2 linked regions of the Rhinolophus ferrumequinum genome follow. Each later gene encodes a partner of the first gene's protein in a complex. Links are inferred from orthologs where the notes say so. Each region holds a gene or a part of one and is shown in the gene's direction. Other genes may lie near its edges. The genes, in order: ELANE and antileukoproteinase.

Evidence for each region.
Region 2: the proteins of ELANE (region 1) and antileukoproteinase are in contact, whole or in part, in a crystal structure (PDB 2Z7F), measured with the Homo sapiens proteins. The link is inferred for Rhinolophus ferrumequinum from reciprocal best matches to the Homo sapiens genes ELANE and SLPI. Residues at the interface, in NP_001963.1 of Homo sapiens: His53, Phe54, Cys55, His70, Cys71, Asn74, Val75, Pro111, Val112, Asn113, Leu114, Leu158, Ile165, Leu180, Arg182, Val197, Cys198, Phe199, Gly200, Asp201, Ser202, Ala216, Ser217, Phe218, Val219, Arg220, Gly221; in NP_003055.1 of Homo sapiens: Tyr93, Gly94, Gln95, Cys96, Leu97, Met98, Leu99, Pro102, Phe104, Met121, Cys122.

Annotation. Positions count from the first base shown.
Region 1 is NC_046301.1:62,052,656-62,069,255, reverse strand, and holds ELANE (neutrophil elastase), read left to right. Parts: upstream 1-8,486; 5' UTR 8,487-8,575; coding exon 8,576-8,642; intron 8,643-9,051; coding exon 9,052-9,208; intron 9,209-9,512; coding exon 9,513-9,654; intron 9,655-10,370; coding exon 10,371-10,601; intron 10,602-10,762; coding exon 10,763-10,963; 3' UTR 10,964-11,065; downstream 11,066-16,600. Other genes in the region: PRTN3 (myeloblastin), read left to right, coding at 2,927-2,993, 3,289-3,445, 3,575-3,716, 4,288-4,518, 5,107-5,331; CFD (complement factor D), read left to right, coding at 13,331-13,388, 13,902-14,058, 14,151-14,295, 14,460-14,717, 14,983-15,144. UniProt on the Homo sapiens protein: Serine protease that modifies the functions of natural killer cells, monocytes and granulocytes. Inhibits C5a-dependent neutrophil enzyme release and chemotaxis. Promotes cleavage of GSDMB, thereby inhibiting pyroptosis. Promotes blood coagulation.
Region 2 is NC_046306.1:12,642,746-12,658,505, reverse strand, and holds antileukoproteinase, read left to right. Parts: upstream 1-8,656; 5' UTR 8,657-8,694; coding exon 8,695-8,779; intron 8,780-9,684; coding exon 9,685-9,846; intron 9,847-10,277; coding exon 10,278-10,426; 3' UTR 10,427-11,247; downstream 11,248-15,760.

The DNA of each region.
Region 1 (16,600 bases):
GATGGTTTACAGCAAAGAAAAAAAAAGAACCTTGAAGACACAGAAACAACTTTACCTTCATTGATTATATGAGAAATGTGAGCAGACCTCTGTGAAGACACCATTTTATTTTTCAACCTGTGGGATGTGCAAAAATCCTGCAGTTTGAGAACACTGTGGGCATCTGCCTGGGGGCGGGCACGTCACTGGGGTGCCCTCCTGGTAAAGACCGATGTGGGGCCTCTGAGCCAGCAGCGCCACCTTGGGGTTGACCCCATCTGTCACCCTGTACTGTGTGGAGGACAAGTGTACAAGGATAGATCCTACCACATGGCTAGAAGGAAAAGAGACTGAAAACAATCCAGTGTCCCCAGGAGGAGACACAGAATGCTCAAAGTCTGGTTCATTATGCAGCTGTCTAAAGGGTGGAGGCTCCTTGTTCACTGACCCAAGGGGTCTTCACGGGACAGTGGAGACAAACAGTGTGTGTGTGTGTGTGTGTGTGTGTTACACTTTCTTTTACAGATCAGAGCACCCAGAAGCCCAGGACACCCAGTTAGTTTACTTGGTGGCGGAGGGGGTGGAGCTGCAACAAGACTTTCCAGTCTTTTTTACATGTCTTTTAGATGCTTGGATTATGTGGGGGCAGAAATCAAGCTTAAAAGCTAACAATAAGTTAAAGAAGAGCAGTACACCTCTTTGTGCTGGAGGGAGCGCTGCATTATAGCTGAGCCTTAATGTTGCTGATCTGAGTTGCAAGAGGCAACCCCTGTATCATGGACTGGGCCACGAATTGCCTGGTTTGCAAGGCTTGTAGATAGCGTGTGCGCCATGACCCATTAACACCTTGAACCTGCGACCCGTACAAAGGGGGCCAGAGCTCTGCCCCGAGCTGCGTGGTGTCGGGGTCTGTGGGGCTCTGCAGTCCTCTGCCCTGAGTGCCAGTGCCCCCAATGCAGCCCACTGACACCAGGAGCCCCCAGTGTTTGCCCAGACTGACCCACCACTAAGGTTAGTTGCGTTGCCATTAACCCATTTCACAGATGGGGAGACCGAGGCCCAGAGAGGAATGTCAGTGGCAGTGCAGGAGCCCAGATCGGTGCAGGGGTTCTAGCTGGAGTTTAGACAGATCAAGTCACTGCCTACTCATTGTTCAGATGGGGAAACTGAGGCCTGAGGGGGTTGGGGTCCAAGAGCGTGTGGTCCTCCAGCTTGGAGTCACCCACATTGACACACTCAAGAAAAGAGTATTTTTCTTTTTTAAGGAGAAGAGACGAAAAAGAGACAGACACAGACTGGGCCCCGCTTGCTCTCTTTCCCTCCTCGCCTGAGTCCTAGTGACCCCATGGACCCACATTCCCGCCCCTGTGGCCCCGTTGCTAATTACACCACCAACACTTGGAGTGGGAAGGCTACAGCTTCCCCTCCACCCGCCAGTCCTACCCCCTGAGGCCCCAGAGGCTTCCTTGCCGTTACAGTCACGCCTCCCCCTCCCCACGCCCCACTCCTGCCCCAGCCAGGAGCCTTCACATCCCCTATTCCCTCTGCCTGCAGGCAGCCCCCATCCTGTACTCACCTGCCTGCCCCCAGGCCTCGGTGTGATGCACACCTGGAGCAGAGCACTTGGTCAGGGGGACCCTGGACCATCTCCCTGCCGGTGAATGACCCCAAGACTTTGCAGGGAGGCTCCCCCTTCATGGGTGCATCATCTAGCAGGGTTTGTGTGTGTGTGTTTCTTTTTCTTTTTTTGGTTAAAGCTTTATTGAAACATACTTTATAAGCCATGTGACTTGCCCGTTTAACAATTCAGTGGCATTTGGTGCATTCATAGTGTTATGTAACCACTATCTCTATCTAGTTCCAGAACATTCCCTCACCCCAAAAAGGAAGCCTCATCCCCGCTACCATCCCCCGAAACCACTAACCCACGTCCTGTCTGTGGACGCGCCTGTTCTGGACGTTTCCCATAAGTGGAATCACACACTGTGTGGCCTTGTGTGTCCGGCTTCTCTCGTGAGCACCGTGTGTTCAGGGTCCATTGTGGAGAGTGTCAGCGCCTCCCTCCTTTAACCCATGGGTCAGAGGTTCTGCTGATCCAAGAGACTACACTCCATACCCACTTGACTCTGAGGTCCTAGGAGGCTGCTCACATTTAGTACACAGCCCGAGTGGGAGGAGGGAGGAAGTACTGGGGCCACCCTGGTTTATACCGTGTGGCTATTGGGGTTTATTCTGGTATTTACTGTGAGCAGGGAATGAACTCAAGTTTTTCCCAAATAATTAACTAAGATCTCTTCTCCTCAGCCTCGTGAACACTGGGACAGGGCGGTTGTCTGCCCCCCCCCCCAATCCTGGGCATGGTGGGGGGTTGAGCAGAATCCCTGGCCCCACTCACTCAATGCCAGGAGCTCCTCCGGTCCTGACAACCACAGATGTCCCTAAACAAGGCCCAGTGTCCCCTGGGAGCACAGTCACCTGGGCGAGAACTCTGCCTTAGAGGGAACAGTGAATTCTTTTGGGTCTCAGGTGGTCACACGCCTCTGTGGCTCCCACTGCTCTTCCCGTCGCTTTTCCAGTCCCCATGAGTGGGGCTCACTCTAGCGCCTGGACACGCCAGCCATATCCCGCTTTGCTGGGGCCAAGGGATCCCATGGGGGGAGGTATGGAGGGTGGAATGTGTGCCCCACTGAGGGCTGTTATGCTGCCCTTTGTCCAGGGGATCCCGGAATGGGGTGGGCTTCCCACACTCACAGGGGAGTCAGGGCCCTGAGCTTAACTCTCCACGTCCTCCTGGAGTGTTGTTCAACCACCAGCTCCCTGTGGCCCCAAAGTTGGAAGGAGGAAGTGGGGATGCCCAGCCCAGGCGTGGGGCAACCCCAACGGCCTCTGAACATTGGGCTATAAGAGGGATGGGCAGGCCGGGGAATCCCAGAGCCTGCACCCAAGCATGACCCAAAGCGACAGACTCTCCGGCGCTGCTCTGGCCCTGGTCCTGCTGGCCATGCTGTTGGCCCGTGAGTGGGGCCACATGCTCCTCAGTCCAACAAGCCAGGCTTTGCTGATTCCACCCACGACGGCCAGCCCAACGCCCTCACGGCGCAGACAGGGAGACTGAGGCAGGAGCAGGCCAGGACCCACTCACTGCTTGGGATGAAGGCCTCAAGGGGAGGGAGAAGGGAGCAAGGTGGAGCTCTGGGACATTTGACTCAGTTTCTCCATCTGCAAAATGGACAGTGCTTCCCTCCCAGGGAGGTGGGTGGGGATGGGCCCAGCCGGGAAAAGTGACAGCTGCGACGCCCATATCCTCAGGGGCAGCACAGGCCGCAGAGATCGTGGGTGGCCGGGAAGCGGAGCCCCACTCACGACCCTACATAGCATCACTGCAGGTGGCAGGAAACCACTTCTGTGGGGGCACCTTGATCCATCCGAGGTTTGTGCTGACCGCGGCCCACTGCTTGCAGAACATGTAAGTGAGGGGGGAGGCGGCCCTGCCTGGGTCTGTCACCAAGGGGGCTGCACCCTGGGCCTAAGGGTGCTCTTTGGGGTGGGGAGTGGAGGACGTGGGGGCCGAGGCATGAGTGCCCTGACCCTGCAGGCCCCCCGCCCTGGTGGAGGTGGTGCTCGGGGCCCACAACCTGCAGAATGCTGAGCCCAGCCAGCAGAGGTTCTCCATCGCTCGCCAGTTTGGCAACAACTACGACCCTGAGCAGAAGCTCAACGACATTCTCCTCCTGCAGGTGGGTGGGCTGGCTGATCCTTCATCAGCTGGTACATGGCCTGATACACAGCAGGCCTGGCAGGGAGAGAGCCATTCAGACAGTAGTTCCCAGCCTAGGTGCCAACCTCACCTTCTTAGCAAGGGCTCCCCTCACCCTAGCAGGAACGACAGCCCTGATTTATGGTTCACCATGTCATCATTTCCCTTGACTATATGTTTGTCATCCTCTTGGAGGTAGGATCCCCAGGGTTTAGGAGAGGATGGAGCATACAGTTGGCACTCAATAATTGCTTTGTAAGTGAATGCATGCCATAGTGACAAATGCTACAAGGGGAGGCCCGCAGTGTCAGAGACTGTAAAACAGCTCTGGCAGAGTTTGGAAGGTCAATCAGGGTAGGCTCCCTGGAAGAGGTGACCTCCAAGGTAGAACCTGAGAGTGAGTGAGAAGGGGGCAGGTGGAGGGAACAGCATGTGCAAAAGCCCAGAGGAGGCACTTTGGGGTGGTCAGGACATGGCTGGATGTGAGGAGGGGGTGGCTATGGGGCCTGTAGACAGGGTCTCACTGCCCACCCACTCTCTCCCTGCCCCAGCTGGACCGCCCGGCCAACCTCAACGCCCAGGTTGCGGTGGCCCAGCTCCCCCAGCAGGACCAGCAGCTGCCCCACGGCACTCAGTGCCTGGCCATGGGCTGGGGCAGGCTGGGCACCCGTGCGCCGTTGCCCCACGTCCTGCAGGAGCTCAATGTCACCGTGGTCACCTTCCTGTGCCGGCCACATAATGTGTGCACCTTTGTTCCCCGTCGCAAAGCTGGCATCTGCTTCGTATGTATCCGCTCAGCTCCCAGTGCCCCACACCGCGTTTGGATGGCTTGAGGGACCTCCCTAGAGGCTGGAGCTGCCCTGGAGCAGAGGAGGCTCCAGCGGCCACCCAGGGGAAGGAGGGTGGGTGGTAGGCTGCAGTTCGAATCCACTTCCTCTTCACTGAGCAGCTGCAGGCTGGGCCTCAGTCTCCCCATCTGGAAGGAGGGTACACCCATTGTGAGGGTTCAGAGGATGATCCATGGAACAGCCTCAGCTCCCACAGGCACAGAGGGGGCCGCTCAGGTCATACCTGGTGGCCCTCATAGGTCTGGGGACTGTCCCTTCCTGGGGCCCTCTCAGACCTGGGGAGGTGTGGGTGACTAGCCTAGTCTCAATCCAGGGATCCAGGTATACAGATGAGGCCACTCTGGAAGAAACGCCTGCTGTCTTCCAGAGTGGCCTCATCTCCCTCTCTCGTCCACGTGTCCTAAAGAAAATTTTGGACTGGAAACATTTTACCCGTAAATGGCGTTAGGTCGTCTTCAGCCACCCTTTCCCTGACGTAGCCAAGTCCTGGGTGACTGAGTGACCTGTCCCCACACTTCACAGGGGGACTCAGGCGGCCCCTTGATCTGCGACAGCGTCATCCAGGCCGTGGACTCCTTCTTGATCCGGGAGTGCGCTACCCGCCAGTACCCCGACTTCTTCGCTCGAGTGTCCCTCTACGTGGACTGGATTCAATCCGTGTTGAGAAGCGCAGGGGGCCGAGGACAGCCCCCGAGCCTCCCCTTCCAGACTGATGCCCCAGGGCTGAGGCCAGACAGCAAGCCCTAACAGGACAGGGAGGGGGCCGGTGCTCAGCCCATGGTGACATCAATAAAACTTGAAACCCCCCTCTGGCTCGTGTCTGTCGCGAATGTGGGAGAGTGTCCCCAGCATGTGAGTCCCCAGACCCCAGACTCGGGATGGGGATTTGGAGCCAAGGCCTGGAGGTCCGTGGAGGGCTCAGGTCACAGTGCATTCTCCCCACCCTCCCATGCCCACAGACATGGGATCTAATCCAACCCCGCTGCTATGGCCCTGTGCAAGCTGCTGTCCATCTCTGTGGCCCAGTTTCATTGTCTGGAAAAGGGAGTCACCCCAGACATTTCCCAGAACTGTCCACGGAGCTTCACCCTGACCCTCAAGGCTGGGGGGTGTCATTTCCAGCTCTGTGTCTCCAGCTGGGGGTGTGTGGTGAGGCTGCTGGAAGACCAGGCTGTGGTAACAGAGAATGCCTGGGGCCTGTGGGGCTCCTCCCCGGTCAGAGGCAGGCAGAGCAGCCATTAGGGAGGCTTCCTGGAGGAGGCGGCAATGACTGAGGTGACTGCCAATGCACAAACAGGAACAGGAGGGGAAGGGCCCCCAGACAGGGGCATAGCGAGGGCAGAGGGACTGCAAGGCTGCACTGCAGCTGGAATGGAGCAAGGCAAGGTGGTGGGGGAGGAGAGTTCAGAGAGGTGGTGGGAATAGAGGATGCCAGACCACAGATATGAACTGGGGTAAGCCTAGAGGAGAGGCCTGAGGCAGGGAGCGGTAGAGGTCATTGGCCAGTGGGCAAATGGCCATGGGAATGAGGCTCAGAGAGAGGGGCCAAACTGCTCATGGGACACACTGGAATTGGAAGGCGGATCTTTCGTTATTGATTTACTCTGCCACCACCTGGTGGCAGCGTACAAAATACAAGCAAGAACGAGAATTCCCAGGCCTGCCCAGTTCTGCAACTCTTTTATACCTCAGTTACCACCCCAGTGTAGGTGCTATGACTGGTTTACACCAGCAGCACCAGGAGAAAATGTGTGCGGAGACAGGGGACCTGGATGAATCCTGGGAAATATAAGCTAATGAGTGTCAGGGGAATTCCCTGCTGGGAATTCCCTGCATCTCCCAGGGGCCCAAGGCGGGGAAGCGGTTTCTATAAAAAGCCCACAGTGTTGGGGGTAGAAGAGTTTTGCTAGAGGGAATGCTGGAAACAGAAAGACCAACAAAAACACCGCCAGGAGGGTTCTCTGGGGCTGATGTGTGTGAAAGATGACCCAGGGAAGCCCTACACAGCAGAGACCAGACCCAATAGTGGGAATTGGTGGGGTTTAGGGAGGTGTTGGGTGGATTTGCCAGAGGTTAGCTGAGCTGTTGAAAGAAGCCCATGGGAATAACAAGCAGGATGATCAGCACACACTTGGAAGGCCTCAGGGTGAAAGGGATTCCTTGAGGGGAGGGTGTGGGGGTAGTCTCTGCTGCTGGTGACCACAGCTGTACGGGGTTGCTTCCTATAGCTCAGGGATCCCCAGGCCTCCAGCAGTGGGGAAAGGCACTCAAATCATTGTTTTCTTACTGGGCTGTAACTGAGACCTAAAAATGCGCGCGTCTTACTTGTAAGCTCCATGACTCATTATAAGGGTGTCGCCAGTGTCGCCACTACTCTGATTGCAAATTAGAAGCCCAGTGTTCGCATCCTAGCCTATACCCACCAGACAATCACCATCCTGCCCTCCTGGAGGTGGTTAATGGCTAACAAACCCTCCAGGATATCACTTTCTTATCCAAAATCTTTACAAATGTTCATTCATTTAATCCTTGGGACAGCCTATGTGATGGAGCCTATTATTATAACTTTCCTTTTACAGAAAAGGAAACTGAGGCACAGAAGAGTTAAGTCAGTGGCCTGAAGTTATGTAGTGGGCAAGTGGCCACACCAGGATATAAGCTTGACCACCATGAGATGTGGGAACATAGTATACAGGTGGTGATCGATAAATGCAGCTTTGGTTAAATGGGGTCTTTCTGCCTGAGCCACTCTTCCCCCAAAGACATGGCTTCCTCCACTCTCCCCCATTCCAGGACTGGAAACAGGACTGTGTATCCAGCAGGTGCTTACTCAGTGCTCTATGATAACTTTAATGCAATTGGGTGGGAGCCCTGCCAAGCAGGGAGCGGGGTAGGACTGGTTGATACGGGAGGAATGAAGGGCAGACATGGAGTGCTTGCTGTGCGCCAGGGTCTGGGAGCGCAGTGCTGTCATCCTTACTTGAGAGAGAAGGGAGTTTGTTTGCTCGTGGCCATGCATCGGGGTCGACCCAGGGACGAACAGGATTCCAGCTCTGGTTCCGGGCACCCCTGGTGCTCCCGCCTGCCTCTTCCTGCCGATGGATCCGTTGTTTCCCTCCCCTGAACCCTGCTCCGGGCCAGGAGAACGTTGCTTCTTGCGACAGCCTTGGCTATGGCCGTTGCAGCTGGAGCATCCTGGGGGAGGTGGGAAGAGGAACCAGGCCATGGGGTGGGGGTTGGGCCTTGTTGTTCGGATTGAATTCTTCCACTGGCCCAGCAGAAGCTCTCCAACTTCAGGAGGGAAGGGAGTTCAGCAAAACTCAGAGAGAAGGGGTTCTTTCCCAGAACGTCTGTTGGCAGCCAGAGACTGATGTGGCCCTGGGTGGGAGGGAGTCCCTGTTGTGGGCAACAATCAAAGAGAGGTTGGCAGGCCAAGCCCCAAGAGGAAGGTGGAGCAAATCACCCTCCAGCTGGAAACTGTGGGGCCTGGGTTCAAGCCTAGCTTACCCACCGTGTCACTGTGTAGGAACTCATGGGGGAACACCTCGCTGTGCCTCAGTTTCCTCTTCTCAAGTGGGACCCAGCAGTCCTCCATCACCCCTGTGCCCTGGGTAAACTAAGGCAAGTGGGGAAACCAGCCAACGCCCTTTGGGCCTAGGCTTGCCAGATTTAGCAAAAATATAAGACATCCAGTTAAACTTGAATGCTAGGTAAACAATGACTAAGTTCCTAAATAAGTATAATATTTGGGACACACACTAAAAAACATTGTTTATCTGATTTCAAATTTAATTGTGTGTCCTGAATTTTATCTGGAGCCAACCCAGGCCCCTCACGCCGCCCCCTCCCCCCACCCCCACTGTCTTCCCATCATCGCCCTTGTCCTGGAGGTGGGGAAAGGAAGTGGGGCAATGCAACGGTCCCAGGCATCAAGCCATAAGAAGGCCCGGTGGGCACGGGGGTGCACAGACATCAAAGCCCCCGCCCGACCATGACCCAAAGCTGCAGACCGTCCGGTCCTACCTTCACCTCCATCCTGCTGACCATGCTGCTGGGCGGTGAGTGGGGCCACATGTCTGTCCATCTCTCTCTCGGCCTCCATTCCTGCCTCTCCACTGTGCCCTAAACCTGCGTGGCCTCTTCACCCTCATGGGGAGGTGATGGCTGGGATGGGGAGACCTGTTTCCAGAGAAAGAGACCGAGGTCCAGAGTGGTGAAGAGCCCAGAGTTTGAACTGGGGCATCACTGGGCATGCTCTGGGGACTGCAAAGCCAAATTAAATCCAGATCTAGCTGTGCCCTGGCAGGGGGCAGTAGGAGGCCCCCTATCTCTCTGTGCCTCAGTTTCCTCATCTGGCACATGAAGAGCCCTGATCTGTGGGTTCCTGGTGAGAGTTCAAGGGCTGACTGGCTCAGCAGGTGGGGCTCCTGCGTGGCACTCACTACCCCCGCCTCCACGTATCCCCAGGTCCCGCGCTAGCCTCTGAGATCGTGGGTGGTCGGCAGGCCCAGCCCCACGCATGGCCCTTCATGGTGTCTCTGCAGCGGCAAGGAGGCCACTTCTGCGGTGGCACCCTGGTGGCCCCGAACTTTGTCATGTCGGCCGCGCACTGTGTGAACGGCATGTGAGTGATCGCCTTCCCTGCCCTCGCCACCCCGTGTGTCTTCCCTTCTCAGACCCTCTGTTTCCACATCTGTCAAAGGGGGAGAGTGAGACCAGGGCCCAGGCTCCTCCAGGGGTCCCCCATGAACGCATCTCCCCTACCAGGCCCAAGTGGGGGCGTTCAGCCAATGAGCCCAAGCATCTGCCCAGGGTGGCGATGCTACCCCTGGGTGTAGAGCCGGGCTTGGCTGAGCTCTGGAGTCTCTCAGCTACCCCCAACGCCTGGGGCCACCTCGAATCACCTCCTGCACCCATTTTGCCTATAGAAACTTCCAGAGGGTGCGGGCGGTGCTGGGGGCACACAACCTGGGGCAGCGTGAGCCCACCCAACAGTCGTTTGCCATCCAGCAAGTCTTTGAAAATGGCTTCGACCCCGAGAGGCTGCTGAACGACATCGTGATTCTGAAGGTGCAAGGCCAGTGGGGTGGGAAGTGATGCCCAGGCAGGGGACCGGCAGGTGCAAAGGCCCAGGGCCAAAGGCTTGGAAAGGGCAGAGACAGAGCGGAAACACTGGAGGTCACATGCGGCTCTAACTTGATAGTTCGTCTCTGTGCCTCAGTTTCCACTCATGTAACCTGGGGAAACAAGCCCCTCCTGGCAAAGCTGTTGAGAGAGTGAACGAGAAGACACAGAGAGATCTAGACACAGAGAGATCTAGTTGTCAATCAACAAAATGTTATGATTATTTGTGTTTGATGGCCCTGTGCCCAGGGACTGTTCCTGCCTTTGTGAAATGGCAAAATTCCCCACATCTGGGCTGAAGGGAAACTGGAGGGAGAAACCCTCCCTTCCCCACTGCTGGCAGAGTTATGATTATTCTCTGGAATGTTTTAGAATACGGTTTCGTTGTCATTGGTGTTGCCCATAGCTTGTTATATTGAGTATGTATGTTTACTCCTCTCAATACACATCCAGGGACGCCCTGAGCCACTGTTGTTGTTCCTATTTCAGAGATGGGAAAACTGAGACTGAGGGTGGGGAGCATCTCACTGGGTGGGCAGCCTACTCCGTAAAATCCCAGAACCATGGTGGGACCTTATGTGGGGAAATTGAGGCCCAGAAAGGGGAGGGCCGGTGCCCACCTCCCTGTGTGACTCTCCTGTCCTCTGCCCTGCCCACTACAGCTCAATGGGTCAGCCACCATCAATGCCAATGTGCAGGTGGCCCAGCTGCCCGATCAGGACCAAGGCGTGGGCAATGGGGTGCAGTGCCTAGCCATGGGCTGGGGCCGGTTGGGCACCAACCGGCCACCACCCAGAGTCCTGCAGGAGCTCAACGTGACCGTGGTAACATCCCTCTGCCGCCCCACAAATGTGTGCACAATGGTGCCTCGCCGGCGGGCAGGCATCTGCTTCGTAAGTACCCGCATCCCCTCACCACTCCACCCTCACTCCTGCCCAGACTGCAGCAAGTGGAACTGCAGCCAGACCCTGGGAAAGACTTCCCAACTCTGAAGGGCAGTGGGTGGGGAGCCCCGGAAGCCCAGCCTCCCCACCTAGTCTGGCTCCACACACAGGGGGACTCCGGTGGGCCTCTTGTCTGCAACGGGCTGATCCATGGGATTGACTCCTTCATCCGGGGAAGCTGTGGCTCCGGCTTGTACCCAGACGCCTTTGCCCCCGTCGCGCAGTTTGCCGACTGGATCAACTCCATCATTCGCAGCCCCGGTGACCAGCCCCATCTCCACCCCAGGGACCCTGCAAGCAGGATCCGCTAGAAGGGGCTGGCCCTGTCACCCCACCTCACCTGCCCCTGGCTGGGGCCTTCCCACGCTCCGTTATGCAGCATCTGGCACAATAAAAACCCTCTGTTTTGTAGACTGTGTCTTGGTGTTGGTTGTGTAATTGGGCGTTGAAAGCAGTCATGAGAGCATCTTGGGAATCTCACGAGTATGAGCATTGGAGTAAGTTCCTTCTCCACCCTCCACAAAGAATGCCAGTTGCCATTTCTGGTTTCCCTCATGTAAAACCGGGTTTTGTGTGATTAAATTAGCATTGCACGTGGTGATGACACAAAGCACTGTAGCAGGTGTTCGTTGAGTGCTTACCAGGTGCAGGAATCATTCTCAGTCTTTGCAAGTGTTCGCTCATCCAGCCCTCTGAGGCTCCAGCCCTTGTGGCCGGTCCCGTCAGTGCCCTGTTTTACAGAGCAAGAGAGGTGAAGCCCTGTTCGGGAGCCTGGCTTTGAGTCCAAGCTCTAACTTTGGGCAACTTGCTCACTGTCTCTGAGCCTCCGTTTCCCTGCGGGGAGGAGTGAGGTGCTGTATGGTAAGGGGGGTTGGGGTCTCATTGGGTGACACAGACGAGCCCTCCTTCACCTCCCCAGCATTTTACTCTGCCAAAGGGGGAAGGGCAGAGCAGATGATTTCCAAGGCATCCCCCAGACCAGATGGAAGTTGCAGCCCTGAAAGAGGGGACCAGCCTGTACCCCTCTTCTACCTTCCTGGGGCCACAGGCAGGGACCACAACAGATATGGCCTCTGCCATCACGCAGCTCACAGTCTGACAGTGGGGGAAGAAACAATCACTTAAGCAAGCAAATAGAGAAATACCATCAGGTAATGCTGTCCCCCACACACGCCATGAGTTTGGGATGAATCTCCTCTCCCCTCTCTGTCCCCTGGCCCCCAATACCTTCCCGCTGGAGCTCAGAAGCCTAGGTCCCCCTCAGGGCCTTTGCTTTGGCTGTCCCCTCTGCCTGACTGCTCTTCCCGCAGGGTGTCCCCTTATCCCACCTCTCCAAGGAACAGCTGCTCAGAAATGTGACCATCTGCCATGCAATTGCTTTTTCCACTCAATACTATACGCAGGCAGTCTTTCCACATCCACATGACATCTGGGGACCATCAGGGTTATTTATTGAACCGCCCCATCTTCCAGGGTGGTTTCCAAATTTTGTTGCAATTTTAAACACTCTTACTCACATAATTTGGACCTCATATCCTCATGGGCATTTGTTCAGAACTGATTTTAATAAGGAAATATGTTAGGATCTAACAGATCACATGTTATTTTCTAATTTTTTCTGTATGTATGAAATAATCCGCTGTGAGGAAGGAAAAAAAAAGGGGAAAGTATTGTGTACTGTTCCCACTGGGGTCATATGAGGTCCATCCCCCCCTTCTGGTCCCATCACCCCCCCCCAATAGGTACATGAGATGTTGATCCCCCATCCCCACCTTACAGAGAGGGTCATGTGACCCGAGTTCTGCTCATCAGAACCTGCCATCCCCTGCCTGCAGTGACTGGTTTGGGAGGGGGCATGTGATCCAAACTCAGCCAATCAGAGACAGCCTGGAGACACTGGCTGGAGTGATGGGGAATTGCGGAGGGGGGGCACTGAGCCACTGGGCTGAGTCTGGGGCCTCTGAGGCCACAACGCTGGAGCCTGGTTAGGAGAAAAGCCATCAAGGAGGAAGGAGAAACCAGAGACAGCGGCCTGACATTGTTCAAGGCACCTGGATCAAGCCACACCTAAAGGCAGACACTGAACTTTCCATTTAAATTTCCTTGTTGAAGGCACAGTCTTTCCACTTGCCCCTACACACCACCTTTCTAATGTCCTGCTTGTTGGGGTATCAGGCTCCAGAGCTGCAGCAATGGGACAAGGGTGTGGGGTGACCTTCCTCCTACCCCCTCCAAGCTGGAAAAGGAAGAGAGAAAAGGGAGGAGCAAAAAAATGAGGAAGTGGGTTGTTTATAAACCGTGGCCTCCAGCTGCTGTTTCGAAACCTGGGGCTGGAGGGGTGCTCTGGGGGCGTGGGTGTGGGTTGTCCCTTCGCCCTGCTTCTGCCCACCCTAAGGGGCTGCTCACCACACCAGAGCCAACCCTGGGCTGCTCACCACACCAGAGCCAACCCTGGGCCAGGTGCACGGAGGCAGGAGGCACCCCTTGTGGTGCAAAGTACAGCAGGAGAGAACCCCACCCAGAGGAGAGTGAAGCGGGCCGGCGGGGGCGGGCTTTTCTTTCCTAGCTGGGTGACTGCCCACCCAGCAGACAGGGCCTGTGGCAGCCACCACCCCCTCCACCCTCATAAGAGTGTCCCAGGACCCCGCCTGAATCAGTGTGGCGGTAACAGCAGCATCATGGCAAACCTCTCAGTGCACCTGGCGGCTCTGATCCTCCTAGGAGCAGCTCTATGCGGTGAGTGAACCTGTAACTGGAGTGGACCAGCTAGGGGCCACCCGCCTACAGAGCAGTCAGCCAGGGACCCCCTCTGTCACACAGGACTGTCTCCCAGCCCCTCTCGGTGGGCAGAAGGGGTCAGTGTCCTTGTGAATGGAAGACTCTGAAAGTCCAGGAATTCTCAAAACTTGGATCTGAAATGCGCAGTTCTACAGTGGAAACTGGCGGCCGGCGGGCCGAACAGGCCAGCAGGAGTGTTGGTCCTGTCAGCTCCACTTTTCTTGGGACTTTTCTTAGGTTTAAATAGAACCCGTGCTGCTCATTGTGTGTGACGGAATGTGCCCCAGACCCTGGCATTCCCTATCCTTCCCAGGCCCCCAGGCATCTGAGCTTGCGACGCTGGGGTGTGGGGATCCAGGGATGGAATTCCAGGTCTGAGGCGGGTAGAGCGGCCTGGGGTGTGGAAACGGCGTCTGTGGGCTGGGCTGCAGGCATCCCCTACGTCCTCACGCGCTTGTTGCCCATCCCCAGCGGCGCAGCCCCGCGGCCGAATCCTGGGCGGCAGAGAGGCCAACTCCCACCAACGGCCTTACATGGCCTCGGTGCAGGTGAATGGCAAACACGTGTGCGGCGGCTTCCTGGTGGCCGAGCAGTGGGTATTGAGCGCAGCGCATTGCCTGGAGGACGTGTGAGTGGCCTGGACGAGGGTGCGGGGCTATAGAGTGGGGGAGGGGTTGGAGTGCGGACCTTGCTCTGACGTGGACTCTACCCCACTCCCAGGGCCGACGGGAAGGTGCAGGTGCTCCTGGGCGCGCACTCGCTGTCGCAGAGGGAACCCTTTAAGCGCCTGTACGACGTACTCCGCGCAGTGCCCCACCCGGACAGCCGGCACGACACCATCGACCATGACCTGCTCCTGCTGCAGGTCGGCCAAGTCTAGCGGCAGTTCCTCCTGCTGCATCCAACACCCCCAGACCCCAGACCTGGCGCCCGCCTCCCCCCACCAGGTCCCACCGAGTCCAGCGGTAGTCCCTCCTGCTACATGCCCCCCGGACCCCAGCCCTGACGCCCATCTCCTCCCACCTGCAGCTTTCTGAGAAGGCAGAGCTGGGCCCAGCTGTGCAGCCCCTGCCCTGGCAGCGAGAGGACCGCGACGTGGCCGCTCGCACGCTCTGCGACGTGGCCGGCTGGGGCGTGGTTAGCCACACGGGCCGCCAGCCCGACCGCCTGCAGTACCTGACCCTGCGGGTGATGGACCGAGACACCTGCAACCTGCGCAGGTATCACGACGGCACCATCACGGAGCGCATGATGTGCGCAGAGAGCAACCGCCGGGACACCTGCAAGGTGCGGAGTGGGGCGGAGCCAGCAGAAGGGCGGGGCTGCATGGAGGGCGGGGCCAATCGAAGGGGCCGAGCTGAGAGCTGGGAAGGCGGGGCCTTGGTGGGTGGGGCCTGCAGTGGTGGGCAGGGCCTGGGCAGATTGATGCGAGAGAGGGCAGGTTGAGGCCAGGGGGAGGAACAGGAACTGCAGTGGCGGAGCTCCAGGTGAACACAGGAGAACAGGAGGGCCTGCGGAGGTGCACCAGCCCTCACGGCCCTGTCCCATGCAGGGCGACTCCGGAGGCCCGCTGGTATGCGGGGGCGTCGCCGAGGGCGTAGTCACCTCCGGATCCCGCGTGTGCGGCAACCCCAAGAAGCCGGGCATATACACGCGCGTGGCGAGCTACGCGGCCTGGATCGATGGTGTGATGGCTGGGGCTGAGGCCGCCTGAGGAGGACCTGAGGGCCTGGAGTCACCAGGAAGCAATAAAGTCACCCACTTCTGCATCCCGTCAGACTTTATTTTTTGTTTCTATTTTGTTTGTTCATTTATTAGGTTGGTGCAAACGTAATTGCAGTTTAAAAGGTTAAAAATAATTGCAAAAACCGCAATTACGTTTACACCAACCTAATATTTTGTTCTTTAGATTCCACATACGTATAAGTGAGGTCATATGGTATTTATCTTTATCTGACTTACTTCACTCAGCATAATACCATCTAGGTCCATCCATGTTGCCACAAATGGCAAGATTTTGTTCTTTTCTTATGATTGAATAATATTTCACTATATATGTGTGTGTGTGTATATATATATATATATATAGAGAGAGAGAGAGAGAGACAGAGAGAGAGGAGAGAGCTCCAACAAAACAAATGCATACAATTTTAAGAAAGGAAAAAACTATTAAAATTACACGGATGGTAACCACTTCGAGCACCTCTTGTAATTGCAGAAGTCAAACATGACTTGTATTCATCTTTTGTTATCGGTATATATTGTGTATTACAATTTTAATACAGTTTTTTCCTTTCTTAAAATGTGTATACTTTTTTTGGCTTTCTCTCTCTCTCTCTCTCTCTCTCTCTCTCTCTCTATATATATATATATATATATACACATATATATTATATATATACATATATATTATATATAATATATATATGACCTTTTTAATCCATTCGTCTATCACTGGACACTGATATCACTTCCACATCTTGGCTATTACTAATTATGCTGCAATGAACATAGGGCTGCATGTATCTTTTTGAATTAGTGTTTTGGATTTCTTCAGGTAATTACCCAGGAATGGAATTGCTGGGTCTAATGCAGTTCTATTTTTAATTTTTTGAGGAACCTCCATACTGTTTTCCATAGCGGCTGCACAATCTGCAATCCTACCAGCAGTGCACTGGGGTTCCCTTTTCTCCACTTCCTCGCCAACACTTGTTGTTTGTTGATTTATTGATGATGGCCATTCTGACAGGAGTGAGGTGGTACCTCCTTGTGGTTTTAATTTGCGTTTCCCTCATGATTAGTGACATTGAGCATCTTTTTATGTGTCTATCGGCCATCTGTGTGTCATCTTTGAAGAAATGTCTATTCAGGTCCTCTGCCCATTTTTTTTATTGGATTTTTTTATGTTGAGTTACATGAGTTGTTTACATATTTTCCATATTAATCCCTTATTTTCATTTGCCATATCTACTCTCATTCAGTAGGTTGTCTCTTCATTTTGTTGATGGTTTCTTTTGTTGTGGAAAAACATTTTAGTTTAATGTAGTCCTATTTGTTTATTTTTTCTGTTGTTTCCCTTGCCTAAGAAGACATATCCGAAAAGATATTGCTAAGAGCAATGTCAAAGAGTTTACTTCCTATGTTTTCTTCTAGGAGTTTTATAGTTTCAG
Region 2 (15,760 bases), on another chromosome or scaffold:
TGACACCCCGCACGACAATGTTTAATTGGGAACAGCTCATCTACTACGTACCGGGCTCCTCCCAGAGACATAGCGTTCTCTAGCAGAGTTTTGCTGAGCTGAAATCCTGATGCCATATCTGCAGGCTCTGGGCGCACCCTGAGGGTTGAGCAGTCAGTGTCACTGATAATTTGGGGACATTCTCTGGCCACTTCTGAGGCTCTCATTGTTCACACCCTCCTTAGATGAGGACACTCTGTTCCAGCCAGCCAAGTGTGTCTGCCCCCAGAAGTCCAGCATGACAAGGGTCCCGCACAGGAAGCAAGTGCTTCTCAGCTTGACCCAGGTGCCCTGAGCCACGAACTTCCACTGAATCTGGAGTGGCAAGTCCCCTCTGACATACGAGTAATTCAGACAGACACTCTCAGGATGCAGACAGGAAAGCTGACTTCTGGAGGCACCATTGAAGTTCACACTAGGAGTCAAGGTCAGCTGGGGCTGGGAACCACCTGTCCTGATATTATGCCTTTTCTCTTTCTATAGGATGTTGACATCCTATAGGCTACAGGAGGACCAGTAGCCTTTTAAAAAAGACTGGAGAGTGGCCGGATGGCTCAGTTGGTTAGAGCATGAGCTCTCAACAACAAGGTTGCCGGTTCAATTCCCTCATGGGATGGTGGGCTGCGCCCCCTGCAACTAAACATTGAAAATGGCAACTGGACTTGGAGCTGAGCTGCGCCCTCCACAACTAGATTGAAGGACAGCTACTTGGAGCTGATGGGCCCTGGAGAAATACAACTTGTTGATCTGTTTGTTTTACCTGAGTCAGAAATCAAGTTCATATCAGGAATTCTAGGGTAATAGAATGATTCAAGCCAAAGTGTAGAATCAAAGATAACGTAAATAAAACCCAAATAAAAAGGTTATTTGGGCAAGGGATCACATTCCAAAATGATCTCAAGTTAGACTTTTGACCTTAAAAACAAATTAAGTTTATACAAAATCATGGTGACATAAAGACAGGAGTTAAAGCAGAGAACCTTCATCACACAACTTAAACTTGTATCTCTGCAGCTCACAATATATTGATATTTTCCATAAATCTGGAAATTATCTTGGTGATAGCTCATTATCTTGGTGCCTGTGTGTTTCAAAAGTTCGTTTATTCGAAATACACTCTTCCAATGTACCCATTTCTGACATCTGTTGGGAGGGGTAGGGTTTAAATTGTTCTGGAAACATAGTGAGAGGCTGGAGTACTTTTAGAACTGAGGAATGCCCTGTGAGAGACAATTCCCTCCCATTGCCTCAAACTCCACTGCATAAAGAATTATTAGGGGCCAGGCCAGCCTTGACACTCCCTAAAAAAGAGGGGGAGCAGTTGTGGGCTTTCAGAAGTTAGGGCCCCAGAGGTTATTACAGCTCCTCTTCTGGGGGAGGGGGCGGGGGTGAAAGGAAACAGCTGATAGGAAAGGTCAAATTAAGGCACCTCTGACCTTGGACCATGGAAACTACAGCTCCCCCTGCTGGTGGGCCCCTGCCATAGACACTATAAAAAGCCCGCCTCGTCGTTCACCCACACGCTTTTCGTGGATTATGAAGCTGAGCAGTTCGTCTGGCCTCACCGTGGGCTTCCTCCTCATCTGCCTCTACATGGCGCAGTCTGGATCCCAGAAAAGTGCGTGTAGGCTGTGGCGGTCCTGTGTGTTGTTGGGGTGGGGAACGTTCCCTCGGAGGAGTCCACGGGACAAGCTGGCACTGATGCCCAGCGACGACCCACAGGTGCCCCAATCACCCTGTGGCCTTTTTCCTCAGATGTAGGTAAACCTGGATACTGCCCAGAGTTCTTACTTTCCTGCCCTTTCATCCTTTTACCTCTGTGCCGGCGCGATAGAGGTTGCAAAGGGGCCAAGAAGTGTTGTTTCTACAATTGTAAACGTCAGTGTGTGGAGCCGTGGTCGAGTTTGGATTGAGGTGAGAAACCCCACATCGGCCGTTCTCAGCTTTGTCCCAGAAATGTTCCGGGAGAACCAGGAGTCCCACAGGGAGTTGAGAACTGCCAGTGCCCTTGGAAATCATTGAGATCCGAGCTTTTAAATGGGGCTCTGCCCTGACATTTGCCTCAAGGACAGTAAAGACGGAGGGTGAGAGTTGGGGGTGGGAGGGCATCAGACCTCTTATCAGACCCCACACTTTATTTCATGTAATGGGCCTCACTCTTCTGCTGTGAGTGATGGGGACATTTGGATAAGTATTACTGAATTTTCATTATGACTATTTTCAATTGCCATTGTTTTTTCTTCCAGCTTCTCATAATGAATCCTTTTCCTCTTCCCATTGAAATTGTGAGGTAAAGGATTATAAGATTTTAATTCTTTAGGATGGCTGATCCCCAGTGCCTGATTCCTTGGCAGCACATCTCAGGGCTCTTGGGAGGAGAATAGCTAGTGGGATGCCGACCACAGTGGTCTCGCGACCCAGTCCCTGCCCCCTGCAGGTTTGCACCGTCCCATAGCTCTGATTCTCTCTTCTCTCCCCAGGGAGAAACCCCTTCTTAACCAGGCCTGAGAAGACACTGGTAGCACAGGTCAGACGGATAACTGATCTCCAGGTCTTTCTTGTTCTCCTCAAGACTTCCTTTTATCAAGAGTTTAATGCTTCCCCTGAAACTAATTAAAAAAAAAAAAGTTGAAGGCTGATTAATATAAAAATAAAGTGTTAAATATTAAAAATTACTGTACATGAAGATCTATGGCTGCTGGACCCCTCCCCCACCCATCCATACCCCTTTCTCTGTCTTCAGCTTTTGAGGGAGATCTTTTAAGGTTTGTAAAAGAGGATGGAGGTACTGTTTCCCATTTAGTTTTGATCAGTTCCTGAGCTCCTGTTTTTCTGATGTGTTTCTCTCGTTCAGTGTCTTCTGACACTCACAGTCTCTGTTGGTCAGATTCCAAACCGTGACCTTGGACCCTGGGGCATTTTGAGTCGTATCTTCTGTGTTTGGACCCCATGAAATGTGTACACGTTATCCTGAAATGGAGGAGCAAGCCTGTTTGCTACGTTTTCTCTGGTGCTACCACTGGTAGTTTCTCCACTTGTTGGAGTAATATATCTAGGACGAGATTTGGGACTTTGGGTTGGACAAGGAGAAGGACAGGCCTTAGTGCTAGGCTACATTAGGGTCTAAAATGTAGGCCATTATAAACCAAGAAAAGGAACTCTTGTCTGTTGCCCAGCTTAGCTCCCTTGATTCCTTGTTTAGGAGTTGAGTCCCTAATCTACCTAATAATAAAGTATTATTTAGCCTTGCATCTTCTCGCTGTCTGCTATGTGAATCTGTCTTGATTAGGGATTTCAGGTCATGGAGTGTGGGTTTCAAAAGATGTGTTTTTCTTTGACACATGCATCTTAAACAAATTTTTGAAAAAGTGTGTATTCTTTAGAAAGTTTCAAGTTGACATTCAATAATTTTCATCATAATTTACATAGTTGCAAGTGATAAATTGGGGACTTCACTCTTTTTAATATTTCTAATGGAATCTAATTACCACTTCAACGACAGTGCTTGAATTAAAGTCCCACGTCTCAGAATGGGCCAGAGATGGAAGGATTCCTGGCGAGCTTGGGGGTGAGCACCTCTTCCTTTCCTAGGGCCAGAGCTCAACAAGTCCTTCCACTGAGCCTTCCAGGAAAGGGGATCCTGACAAATAGGGGCCAAGTTCTCTGTGAGGGAGTGTGTCTGGACCACCTGCAATTAGCCTTTGACTAAAACACCTCTGTCTGCCATATTCACTCTACCTCTCTGTTATACTTCGTCTCATTCTCATTCTTGACATTGACTTTGTTCTTTTCTTCTTCATCTCATTCCCTCTGTGTCTATCTGGCTTTCTTTTAATTTCTGGTTCATTTTAATCTCTCTCTTTCTCTGTGTCCCGTCGCTAACTCTCAGTTTTTGTCGTAATGTTTTCATAGGCTTGTCTTTATTCTCTCCTCTCTTTCTGTCATTCTTTGTTCTGTGTGTCTTTATCTTGCCCTGGGACATTCACCTGAATGTGACCCTACACAGACATCACAAGCCCGCTTGTCACAGACTTTTCATCGCCCGCTTATCAGGCTGTCCTTAGCACGCTCCCCTCGTCTACATCGGGGTTATGACTGCTCCCCCACAGCCTTCCTCTTGGTATCTGGGGGACTCCTTTCACCTCCTGGGAAGATGGCCTCTCGTGCACTTGTCAAATCCACCTCCCTTCTTGTCCATGTTGTCTGTGTTCAGAAGAGAAAGCTGGAGCCTGCCCTCCTGTCACCCTTTAGTGGTGCCAGGTCGACCAGCTCTTACTGCCAGAATGACCGGCAGTGCTCAGAGAGGACATGCTGCCCTACTGTGTGTTGCATGAAGTGTAGGAATCCGGTAAATGTTCTGAACCTGGGTGAGAGGGTCCTATCTGCAAGCAAGGGGCAAAGACTGAGACTCTCCAAGGATGGAGAGTTTGGGAGTGTAGGTAGGTCTCCTTCTGAATCTGGTTGGGGATAAGGCCTAGCTGGATCTCTGCCACTGCCAACTTTGTCAATCTTACTGGTTACTTGATCAGTTAGTGGAACCCCTGGCAGCCTGACTGTAGGTAAGCCACAGTCAGTCCATCAGGCCTTCCTTCATGAGAGGCTTAGGCCTCCATTTGGGGACTGAGAGCAGGAAAAGGTTGGCTTCTATGCAGCAGGATAAGGCTGGGCTGTGGTCCCAAACAGAAGAGGGTCCCAAGCTCTGGACCTGCTGTCTCCAGTTCAGATGAAAGATGGGGAGTGTTCGGTGGTAGAAGGCACTCGTATGATGCTCAACCCTCCAAACTATTGCAAAAATGATGCTCAAAGCTGACACAGCCTTAAGTGTTACAAGGGCAAGTATAGGAAGTGGTGCATTGTCCCTAAGGAAGAGCAGAAGAAAGGCTAGGCTCAGTTCTGTGACCCACCTGCCATCAGCCTCCCCCAGTGTGGCCCAAATCCGTAGAAACTGTCTTCATTGACGGGGGGCTGCCTCATGTGTAACCCTCAGCAGAACCTCCAGCCCTTCAATACTATCTCCCACAATCCTCCACGCACAGAACCTCAGAGGATGGCCTGCAGCAGCACTTCTAGGCCTGACCTCTCTGATCTGGGCCCTGGGAAAGAGATGGCCTGCAGAAGCTTGGAGAAGCAGCCCTAAAAGAAGGCATAAAGAGAAAATCTTTGTGACTTCAGGCTATGCAAAGATTTCCCAGACACAACACCACAAAACATAATGAAGAAAAAATTGATGACTTCATTCATTTTTAAATTGGGATTTTATCAAATTTAAAAACTGCTACTCTTTGAAAAACAGTATTAAGAAATGAAAGGTAGGCCACCAATTGGGAGAAAACATTGGCAAAATACATATCTGATAAAGTACTTGGATGTAGAACATATAAAAAACCCTCAAAACTCAACAAGAAGAAAACAAACAACCCAATAAAAATGGGTAAAAGATTTGAACAGATCCTTCACCAAAGAAGACATACAGATGGCAAACAAGCACATGAAAATAATCACTTCCTCATTAGTCTTTAGGGAAATAACAATAAAATTTCAATGAAATGAGATCTCTCACATACCACTGGTGGGACTAGAAAATGATAAGACACTCTGGAAATAATTTAGCAATTTATTCTAAAGTTAACATACACTTACCATACTACCTATCAATCCTACTCCTAGATATGACCCAAGAGAAATGTAAACCATATCTACACAGAAACCTGTACGTGAATGCTTAGAGCAGTTTCATTCATAATCACCAAAAGATGGGAGCAACCCAAATATCTTTCATCAGGGAGATGCATAAACAAACCATGACCTGTCCATGCAATGTAACAGGATTCAGCATTGTAAAGGAACAAACGACCAACAACACAGATGAATCTTAAATACATTACACTAAGTGAAAGAGGACATACTCAAAAGGCTACATACTGTTTGATTCCATCTATATGACAGCCTCAAAAAGGCAAAACTATAGGGATAGAAAACCCACCAGTAGTTGCCAAGAGCTGGGAGTAGAGGAAGGGATTGACTACAAAGGGTGCAAGAGGATTTTGTGGGGTCATGAACTGTTCTCTCTCTTGATTGTGGTGGTGGTTTCACGGCTATAAGCCTTTGTCACAAAACTCTGCACACTGAATAGGGTGAATTTTACAATTAACCAGACAGACACAGTCCCTCTTCTTTAGGACCTTATCATCTCATGGAGAATCATCCCCATAAACTGGACTTATCCTCAGTGATAATCATCAAGAAAGTGGTAAGTGCAGGGCAAGATGGGGAGTAGAGGAGGGGCTCCCAAGTCGCGGGGAAAGAGAGAGAGAGAGAGAGAGAGAGAGAGAGAGAGAGAGAGAGAGAGAGAGAGAGAGAGAGAGAGAGAGAGAGACACTATGTACAAAGGAAGAAGATGTGGTACATATACACAATGGAATACTATGCTGCCTTAAGAAAAGATGAAATAGTGCCATTTGCGACAACCTGGATGGATCATGAGATTACAATGCTAAGCGAAATAAGTCAGGCAGAAAAAGTCAAGAAGCCTATGATTTCACTGATATGTGGTATATAAAACTGGAAACAACAAAGGAACAGGACAAACAAATGAAGAAACAGAAACTCATAGACACAGACAATAATTTGGTGGTTACGAGAAGGTTGGGGGTGGTAGATGAGGGTAAAAGGGATCCAACATATGGTGATGGAAGGAGAACTGACTCTGGGTGGTGAACACACAATGTGACATATAGAGGATTACAGATATATTACAGAACTGTACACCTGGAACCTATGTAACTTCACTAACAATTGTCACCCCAATAAACTTTAATTTAGAAAAAAAGAAGAAGAATGCTTACGCTTGGATGCATGGTGCTTTACCTGAGTGATGGTACATCTTTATGGTGAGCTAGGTGAGATAATAGGCTTTCTTTCAAAAACATCTTCCTTTATTTTAATCAGAGTTATACATACAGATAGACTGCAGAGTCACAGTTTTACAAAGGTGGTGGTGCAAAACAGCAGTTGCTTATCACCACCATCACCACCACTCTCACCTCCAGAGGAAAAGAAACCACGTTTAGTTTATTATGTTGGCACTTACCTCCCTGTCTCTAAGTAGTATTTGTGTAACGTCACATCTTGACTTTTCCGTTTTAGATATAATCTATTGACTGTCCACAATTGCAAACGAGATTTTCATCTACCTCTTCCCTCTCAACACTTCTAGCCCATAGGCCCACCCTTCCATCCTCCTCCCTCCCATCAACGTTATGCAATAAATTTGATTAGATCTGTACTATTGTTTACTTTATCATGACTATGTAAACACTTGTCACAGCTGAACTGTGTAGTAAACGATACTGTTTTTCTTTTCTGGCACAACTTTTTTATTCTCTCTGAAGTGAAAAATTGTTGAGTTTTACCTTTGCTTGGTTTTCTATATAGCTATCACCTATTCAACCACAAATTCTCCTCCAGTTGCCAAAATTTCCTCTGCCTGTATTCATATGCATCTATTAATTTCACTTTCTAGAAGATGTATTTCCGAGACCCCTCTGACCTGCTTCAGTCTGGGCTGGTGGCCCTGGATTTCTGGTACTCAGCTGTCACTTTGGGATTTTGTCACCAGCATCACAGGGGAAGGGGGTTGTCACTTCTTTTCTCCCCTACATTCTGTTTTCTGAATCCCATGCTTTTTTTTTCTTTATTTCACCATAATAGGCTTGCACGCAGTTAATAATCAGTAAATGAAAACCTTCATTATAATCATGAGAGAGCAGTGGACTAATTTGGGGATGTGGGAGAAATTTTTGAGCCTGTTAAGTGGTGCTCTTTTTCTACCTGGCTGTTCAACTCATTGCTGAAAAGAGTCTTATTAGTTTATCTCAGAAAAATTGGTTCCAATGTGATTTGCTTCACATCAGTTTCCCTTCCAATCACAATGCCATGGGGTAGTGTGTCCACTGTCCTCAATGTCCTTTCCCCTGCTTATCTCAAATCCTTCTCGGTGACCTAGTCAGTTGTTATTATCCCCACTTCCCAGCTGGGAAGACTTAGGCCCAAAGAGATTTTCATTGCTGTCCCCACTGCACCTGTTATTCAACGAGGATTCTTTGAGAAACCCCTTTGTGACCCGCAGAGTGCCTGGAACTACAGGTATTATATCAGAACAAGCCAGGAGAAAGTGAGTGAATGTGTCAGCTGACGCTTACAGAAGGGAGGGACTTTGGGTAATCCCTAAGAGTCCGGGAGTGTGGGAAAGTCAAGGTTCATTGAAGGGTCACACCTCACTGATTGTTCCAGGTTTCTGAGAAGCTCCATTATGTCCCTCCGTTCGGCCCTTTAATCTCCCTTTTTCCCCTCCCCCTCTCACCCCAAAGGCAGGTGGTTCAGGGTTCTCTAAAGTGTTTGTGAATGGCTCCTGGCCATTCTGGTGACATGTCCCCCTCCAAGTTCTATATTTTCCTTCCTGGGCCCCAGGCTCTTGCCTAGAGCAGAAAAGAGCCACCAACACTCTACATGGCAAGGTCACTGTCTTTGCCTGAGTTTCCTGCTTATGAAATAGCAGCTGGGAGAGCCAAGACCATTCTGGTTGGGCCACACCCACAGGGAGAGGTATAAGGGCAAAGGCGGGCCCTGGCCACCTCAGCCCTACCTGCTCTCACTATGAAGCCCAGCAGCCTGGTCCCCTTTGTGGTGCTCCTGTCCCTTGGAATCCTGACGTTGAGGTCTGTGGAAGGGGCTAGCAAAGGTGAGTCAGTCTCAGGCCATCCAGGTTCTCGGCATGGCCTCTTCCTTTTAGCCCAGGTGACCTGGAAGCCATATTTCCAGTGGTCCAGCCTATGGCCCGTAATTTCAAGCATCTCTCCGAGGACTTCAACCAAGAGAGTTTCTGAGCTCCTGGAAACCCACCTTTCACCAAATGGACCTGTTGACCTCAGTACTTGTCATACTGTTTCTTTCTCTACGGTGCCTTCTCTACTGTTTGGTCGTTTTCTCTGTCACATTCTTTTCGTCTCCATCTGTGTAATTTTCCAACTTGTTCTCTTTTTCTCTTACTAGCTCTTTTTTGATGGTCACTTTCTCTTTCTCTATTTACTTATCAGTTGATCTGCTCTCTTTCTTTCAATCTCTGATGAGTTGTCTCTCCTGCTATCACTGCCCCTCTCTGTGTTCCTCCCAGCCAGGGTGTATCTCTCCCTCTACCTGGGCCGGGAACACCTAACCGTGAGCTCTATGCAGCTGGGTCCTGGAACTGGCTCATACTGGCTTGCAATAGCTGACTGGTAAATTTTCAAGACTTTTGTGGGCTAGTTGACATCACATTGGTAGCTTGAAATCAATTGTGAAGGGAGTATTTACACCATGGAAATTGGCGAACACTACAAAATCTCCCTCTTAAAACATTTACCAGCACACCACCATCTGTGTCTTCTTCCCTGGGCCATTGACACGCTCTTGGTTGAGAGCTTGGCTGAGCTTGCCACTGCCCCACACCTGCCTTAAAACTGGAATCCTAACTGCTCCTTCCCTTCTTTTGGGGTCAGCCACCTGGGTTAGGTTTTCTCTCCCCTCCTGAGAAGCTGGTTCCTTGTCCAGGATTATGGTCATGACTCAGAATCAAATCTTTCTCCTTCCTTTGTTCTTACCCTTCAGAAAAATCTAAATATGGAGCCTGCCCCTTCATATCCCCGGCGATGTGCCTTGTCTATGAACCCCCTCAGTGCCACAGTGACTGGCAGTGTCCAGAGAAGCAGAAATGTTGTCCTGACCTTTGTGGCATCAAATGCTTGGATCCTGTAGACCCATCAAAGCCAGGTGAGGAAGTAGAGTCCTGGAAAGGGGGACCAGGGAAATTTGAACGTGAGGACACGCATCTTGGAGAAGTGGAGGGGGCTTCTCTGAACTAGGCTGGATAATGGGGCAGAATCAGGCCTCGTCCATTCCCAGCTCAGCATTCTCAGGTTTTCAGTTGGTCAGTAGGTAAGCCAGTAGCCATTGGCCAGTCCATGAGTCAACTCATTGACAGCAGTCAGTCAGTCAATGAGTCAATCTGTCCTTCAGACATTTACAACACTGCTGGGAGCCTCCTCAGTGGGAAGGAATCTTCTTCAAGACATGCGCTTGACTCTGTTTGGGTACGGAGGTAGGGGAGGACCTGATTTCCATGCATGGGATAGAGATGGGGAAGGGAGCTTGGATGGTGTCTAGGGGATCAAGCCTCTGAGTAGTGGCTTTCTTCTCACCAGTTGCGGTCAACCCTGAGAATTGTCCAGTAGTCATTGGCCAGTGTAAGATGCTCAGCCCCAAAGACGACTGCCTGAATGACAGCCACTGCCTGAACGGTTTCAAGTGCTGCAAGGGGATGTGTGGAAACTCATGTGTCAAACCAGTGTGAGGTAAGGAGAAGATCTGGCAAGTCCACATTCCCCCCATCCTAATACAGCCTCAAACTCCGTGTGCTCTTCCAGGTAAAGGGGGACGCTTAGCGTCTCCCTGCAGCCCGCACCACCAAGCAGATCCTCTGCCCTTCAACAGTATTCACCCCCTGTTCTCCAAACAAGAAGTCTCCAGGCTCACTTGTGATTGGTAGTGCTGGGTCCTGGGAGGGAAGGATTCTTGGAATGAACTAGGAGGAAGGAGCCGTGTCACAAGGCTGCACAAGTTCTATCTTTTAATATCATCTCTGCCTCTGACTAACTGTGTGACTATGAGCAACTGACTGTATCTTCCATAACTTTTGTTTCCTAATCTGTAAAATGGACACAATTATATTAGTTGGTACAAAAGTAATTGCAGTTTTTTCCATTAAAAACCGCAATTATTTTTGCACCAACCTAATATCCACTGAGATACTACCTGTAAAAGTACTTTTTAAGATTGAAGTCCTATGTGCATTGAGTATTGCTATGGTTGTGGCCTCATTTGGTTGGGTTATCTGGACCCACAGGAAACCCTAGTATGATGCACAGATTTGGAGGCCCGATGCTCTGATTTTACCAGAGGGAAGACTAAAGCAGAGAGTCAGTGAAAAGCCTGAATTTGTTCTAGATTCCTAGATGAAAGACCAGTACTGTTTCAACTATTCCAGCACCGTGTTCTCTTGCACTCTCTTTATCCCAAGGGATTTCGGGCGTGATGGCAGAAGGGGAAAGATGTAAGGGGCACTTACTTGGATTGTTCCTGTGCTGAGGCTCTGTTTTATTTTCTTTCCACAAATTTATTTTTATCAGTTCAAAACCATTATGATTTCCTGGTATCTGCGGTCTGGGGATTCCTGCCGCACCCCCACCCCTGAAGCCTGGAGAAAATGAGAGTACCTTGATGAAGATGTAGCTTTGTAACCAATACTTTCTTGAGGTCTAAGTTTGGACCTGTTTTATCAACGTACGCCCAGCATCCAACATGAGGCTTGGCACACAAAAGGAACTGTCTGTTGATTAATGAACAAATAAATGTACAAAGTTTTCTCTACACTTCTATCTTCCTTGACTCATTGAGTCTGGTCTACAGTATGACGGGTGAGATGAAGAACGAAATATCCGCATGCACAGGGTTTCACCCACAACCTGTGAAGTGGAAAGAAGAGAGTTTGGAGTCAAGCAGATATGGGTTTAAGTCCTGCATCTGTAGTTTACTGGCCCTATAATGTTGGGCAAGTGCTTGTGACCCCCTGAGCTGCAGTTTTGTCAACTATAAGATGGGAACGGTACCAGCAATGCCAATTCCGTTGTCATGAGAACTAGAGGTGATAACGTGAAATGAATAGCCCCGTGATTGTCATACAGTAGACAATAAGTGCTAGACTTATCTCGGGTAAAAAGGCTTTTTCAAGCGAGGCACAAAAACATTAAGAAAATGGCCGAAAATTTGACTACATCAACATAAAAAATTATAAACACAAAAGAGTTAAAAGATAAATACTAGCTTTGAAGTAAATATTTGGGGATCATTATAACAGACAAAGAAACAGAATGAAAAACATGTGAAGGATTTCTACAAATCAGGAAGAAAATCAAGCTCTTAGAAAAAAAGGAAAATGAATAGATAAGCAATCAAAAAAGAGGTATTATTATAATAGATGGTTAACATCACATAGAAGAGCTTCAACCTCACTAGTTATCAGGAATAGCCAATTAAAACAACCAGAAACACCATTTTTCATCCATCAGAATGGTAAGAATTAAAAGTCTATAATATAGGGCCAGCCCAGTGGCTCAGACAGTTGGAGCTCTGTGCTCCTAATGCCAAAGGCTGCCGGTTCGATTCCCACATGGGCCGGTGGGCTCTCAACCACAAGGTTGCTGGTTCGACTCCTCGACTCCCACAAGGGATGGTGGGCTCCACCCCATGCAACTAAGATTGAACACGGCACCTTGAGCTGAGCTGCCGCTGAGCTCCCGGATGGCTCAGATGGTTGGAGCACATGCTCTCAACCATAAGTTTGTCAGTTCAATTCCTACAAGGGATGGTGGGCTGTGCCCTCTGCAACTAACAACAGCAACTGGACCTGGAGTTGAACTGTGCCCTCCATAACTAATATTGAAAGGACAACAACTTGACTTGGAAAAAGTCCCAGAAGTACACACTGTTCCCCACTAAAGTCCTGTTCCCCTTCCCCAATAAAATCTTTTTTTAAAAAAAGTCTATAATATAAACTCTCAGAGACTCAAAAGTGTGCTGATGTGCATATAATTGGGACAGCCACTTAGAAGAATGATTGTTTATGCCTAATAAAACTGAAAATGCACATAAGCTATCATTTAGGACTTTTCCTTCCAGAAATATAGGCAACACTAAACATTTGCCAATGAGAGCCTAATACACATATTGGGATCTTTATTACAAGATTGTTCCAAAGAATCAGAAACTGAAACCAACCTAAATGTCACTCATTTGTGAAACGGTTAAAGTTTCATACCTTGATATGCTATAGAAAAATTAAAATAAATTTGCATGAGTCCACATGGAGACATATCACAAAAACAGTTTGTTGGGGAAATCATATCACTGATATAAAGATTAGTATGAAGTATTTTTATATGTTTAAGAATCACACAAAATAGCAAGTTGTTTATGAGTATACACCAACGGATACACACCAAATGTGAGATGATGGCTTCCTGTAGAGAAAAAGGATTGAAAAGGGGACTGGTTGGGCTGGCCCGGTGGCTCAGGCTGTTGGAGCTAAGAAAGCATAAATCTGGAATGTAGAGAAAAAGAATAAACTGGGTTTGAAGCAAAGAAGACTCTACAGCAAGAGAGAGAGACCTAAAGATAACTAACCCTAGTGTCCACCAATATTCACAGTCTCCGCTTTTTCCTGGGCACACAGCTAGATTGAATTTTCCATCTTCCTTTCCAGTTGAGTGCAGCTATATGACTGAGTTCTGGTCAATGAAGTGAGTGGGACTGATGTGTTCCAATTCTGGACCAAGGACCTGGAAGGCGGTGTAGCTGGAAGGAGCCTGGGATCCTGAGTTTCTTTGTGGATCACGGCCTCTCCTCCCCACTTGCCTGGGACTATGACGTGAGCAAGAAATAAATTCGTGTTGTGTTAAGCCACCACTGTTTGGAATTTGTTTATGACATGAATAATCCAGTCCTGATCACTGTTTGGAGCCCAGTGTCAGTCCACTGTATGGCTTCATTTCGTTTCCTGTCTTTGAGTTCTGTGTGATGCCTCATTTCATCATGGATCCCACATGGAAGTGTTTGAATCTAATCCATGTTTGGGTGGGGATGGAGGTGGGAAATGAAAGGAGAAGAACCAGAAACTTCACTACAAGAATATCACGTATGAATAGATTGTTTTCACTCTCCAGGTCCACTAATGTTAAGCAATTTTCTCTTGCACATGCTTTCAGTGTTTGGTGGAGGAGGGTGACGTCAATCTTCACTGTCTGTTGATTCAGTGTGATGGATCGGTGACGGCTGAGAAGAGGGGAAGGAGAAACCCATCTTTTTTGGCAGGAGTAAGAGTGGTTTTTGTCTTCCACTCTAGCTCAAGCTTACTCTCAGCTTATCTAAAATCAAATATTTGAAACACAAGGTTAATTTTTCCCTGAAAGACTCCCAAGTTCTACATGAAAGAGTATGGTTTTATTCCATGGGTCCCTTAATTCTGACCTTACTGTGCTAAGAGGGCGTCTGCCCCTCCAATACTCTGGATACATTTTAAACCTGTCTTACAGCCACTGCCGCGTGCTGTGCTCAAATCACTGCTTTCTAGTCTGACTCTTTTCAAAGAGGTTCTCCTTTCAGAGAAGTTAGCTTGAGGGGGTATCTCTGTCTTCCAACCAAAACAAACCTTGACTCAAGGTACGGGAAACATGGATATTGAGAAATCACTTGGCCACGTTTGAATAACCGAGGTTGATTCCTAATTCTGCTGCTGACTCAGTCTGTGACGTTGGACAAGTTCTTTGACTCCTCATTTGTATAATGAATGGATGATCCATCTGCCCTTTAAAGTCCCACTTTGTTCTGCTTTTATACAAACTAATGAGTCTCAGAAGCATTTTGAGGGAAAGCCCCGGTAGGAGGGGCCACCCCATCGAGTTCTATGAACTCCCTGTAATTCCAGGTTCTCCTCAGCCTTGTGACCCCACCCCAGCCCATCCTTTGTAGTTGTGCGGTCAGCTTCCAGGGCACCTGCTTACCCGGCTATTGTGACTTATGGGTGTCCCAATTAGCCGCAACTAGAATGTCAAAGGTAGTCTGTCCTGTAACACCCTCTTAACGTACAGATGGAGAACTGAGGCCCCAAGAGAAGAGCTGTCCGAGATCATTCAGTAAGTCAGTGGCGGAGCTGAGTACCCTTTATCTCCAAGCCCCACGCTCTTTCTCTTTCTTTTCACGTTTATTTTTTTCAGATTATAGAGTGGGTGCCGTGATGTGCTGTCCAGATCCCCCTTTAGGGCTGAGGTACTCATGCCTGCAGGTGCCGGGAGCGTTGGCTGCTGACACTCACAGCTCAGTCCCTCCCTGGGAGTTGCCCAGGCCGAAGTAAGCTGCTTCATCCAAGGTTACACCTCGTTCCCAGGGCAATCTGTATCCACTGACTAGTTGATGTAGGGATTCAAAGGCTCCCTTGTTCAGTTAGGGACACTGACGGTCCCTCCTCACTCCCGCGCTCCCCATGAAGTTGGCTGAGACTTTGTGGCAACTGCATCACAATTCCACTTCTCCCTCTTCCAGCCATGCTGCTTTTACCTTTCACATGTACCTTTCACATTACTCCTCAGACTACTCCCCAGAAAACCTCTGCACATAAACATCTGCCTCTGAGACTGTCCCCCGGGGAACCTTATTAGAATAAGTCATCATTACCCAAAAATTCATTAAAACTGAAAACTACTCTGTGAAAGGCAAGGTCAAGAGAATAAGACAAGCCACAGAGTGGGAGAAACTATTTGCAAAAGACACATCTGATAAAGGACTGTTGTCCAAAATTTACAACCTCAACTCAACAGTAAGAAAACAAACCACCCGGGTTAAAAAAAAAAAATGGTCTAAAGACTTTCACAGAGACCTCAGCAAAGAAACTGTACGGATGGTAAATAAGCATGTGAAAAAACGCTCCCCATCACATGTCATCAGGGAAATGCAAATAAAAAGATCAGTGAGACACCACTACACACCTATGAGAGTGGCCAAAATGCAGAACCGTGACGACAGCAAAGGCTAAAAAAGATGTGGAGCAACAGGAACCCTCATTATTTCCTCGTGG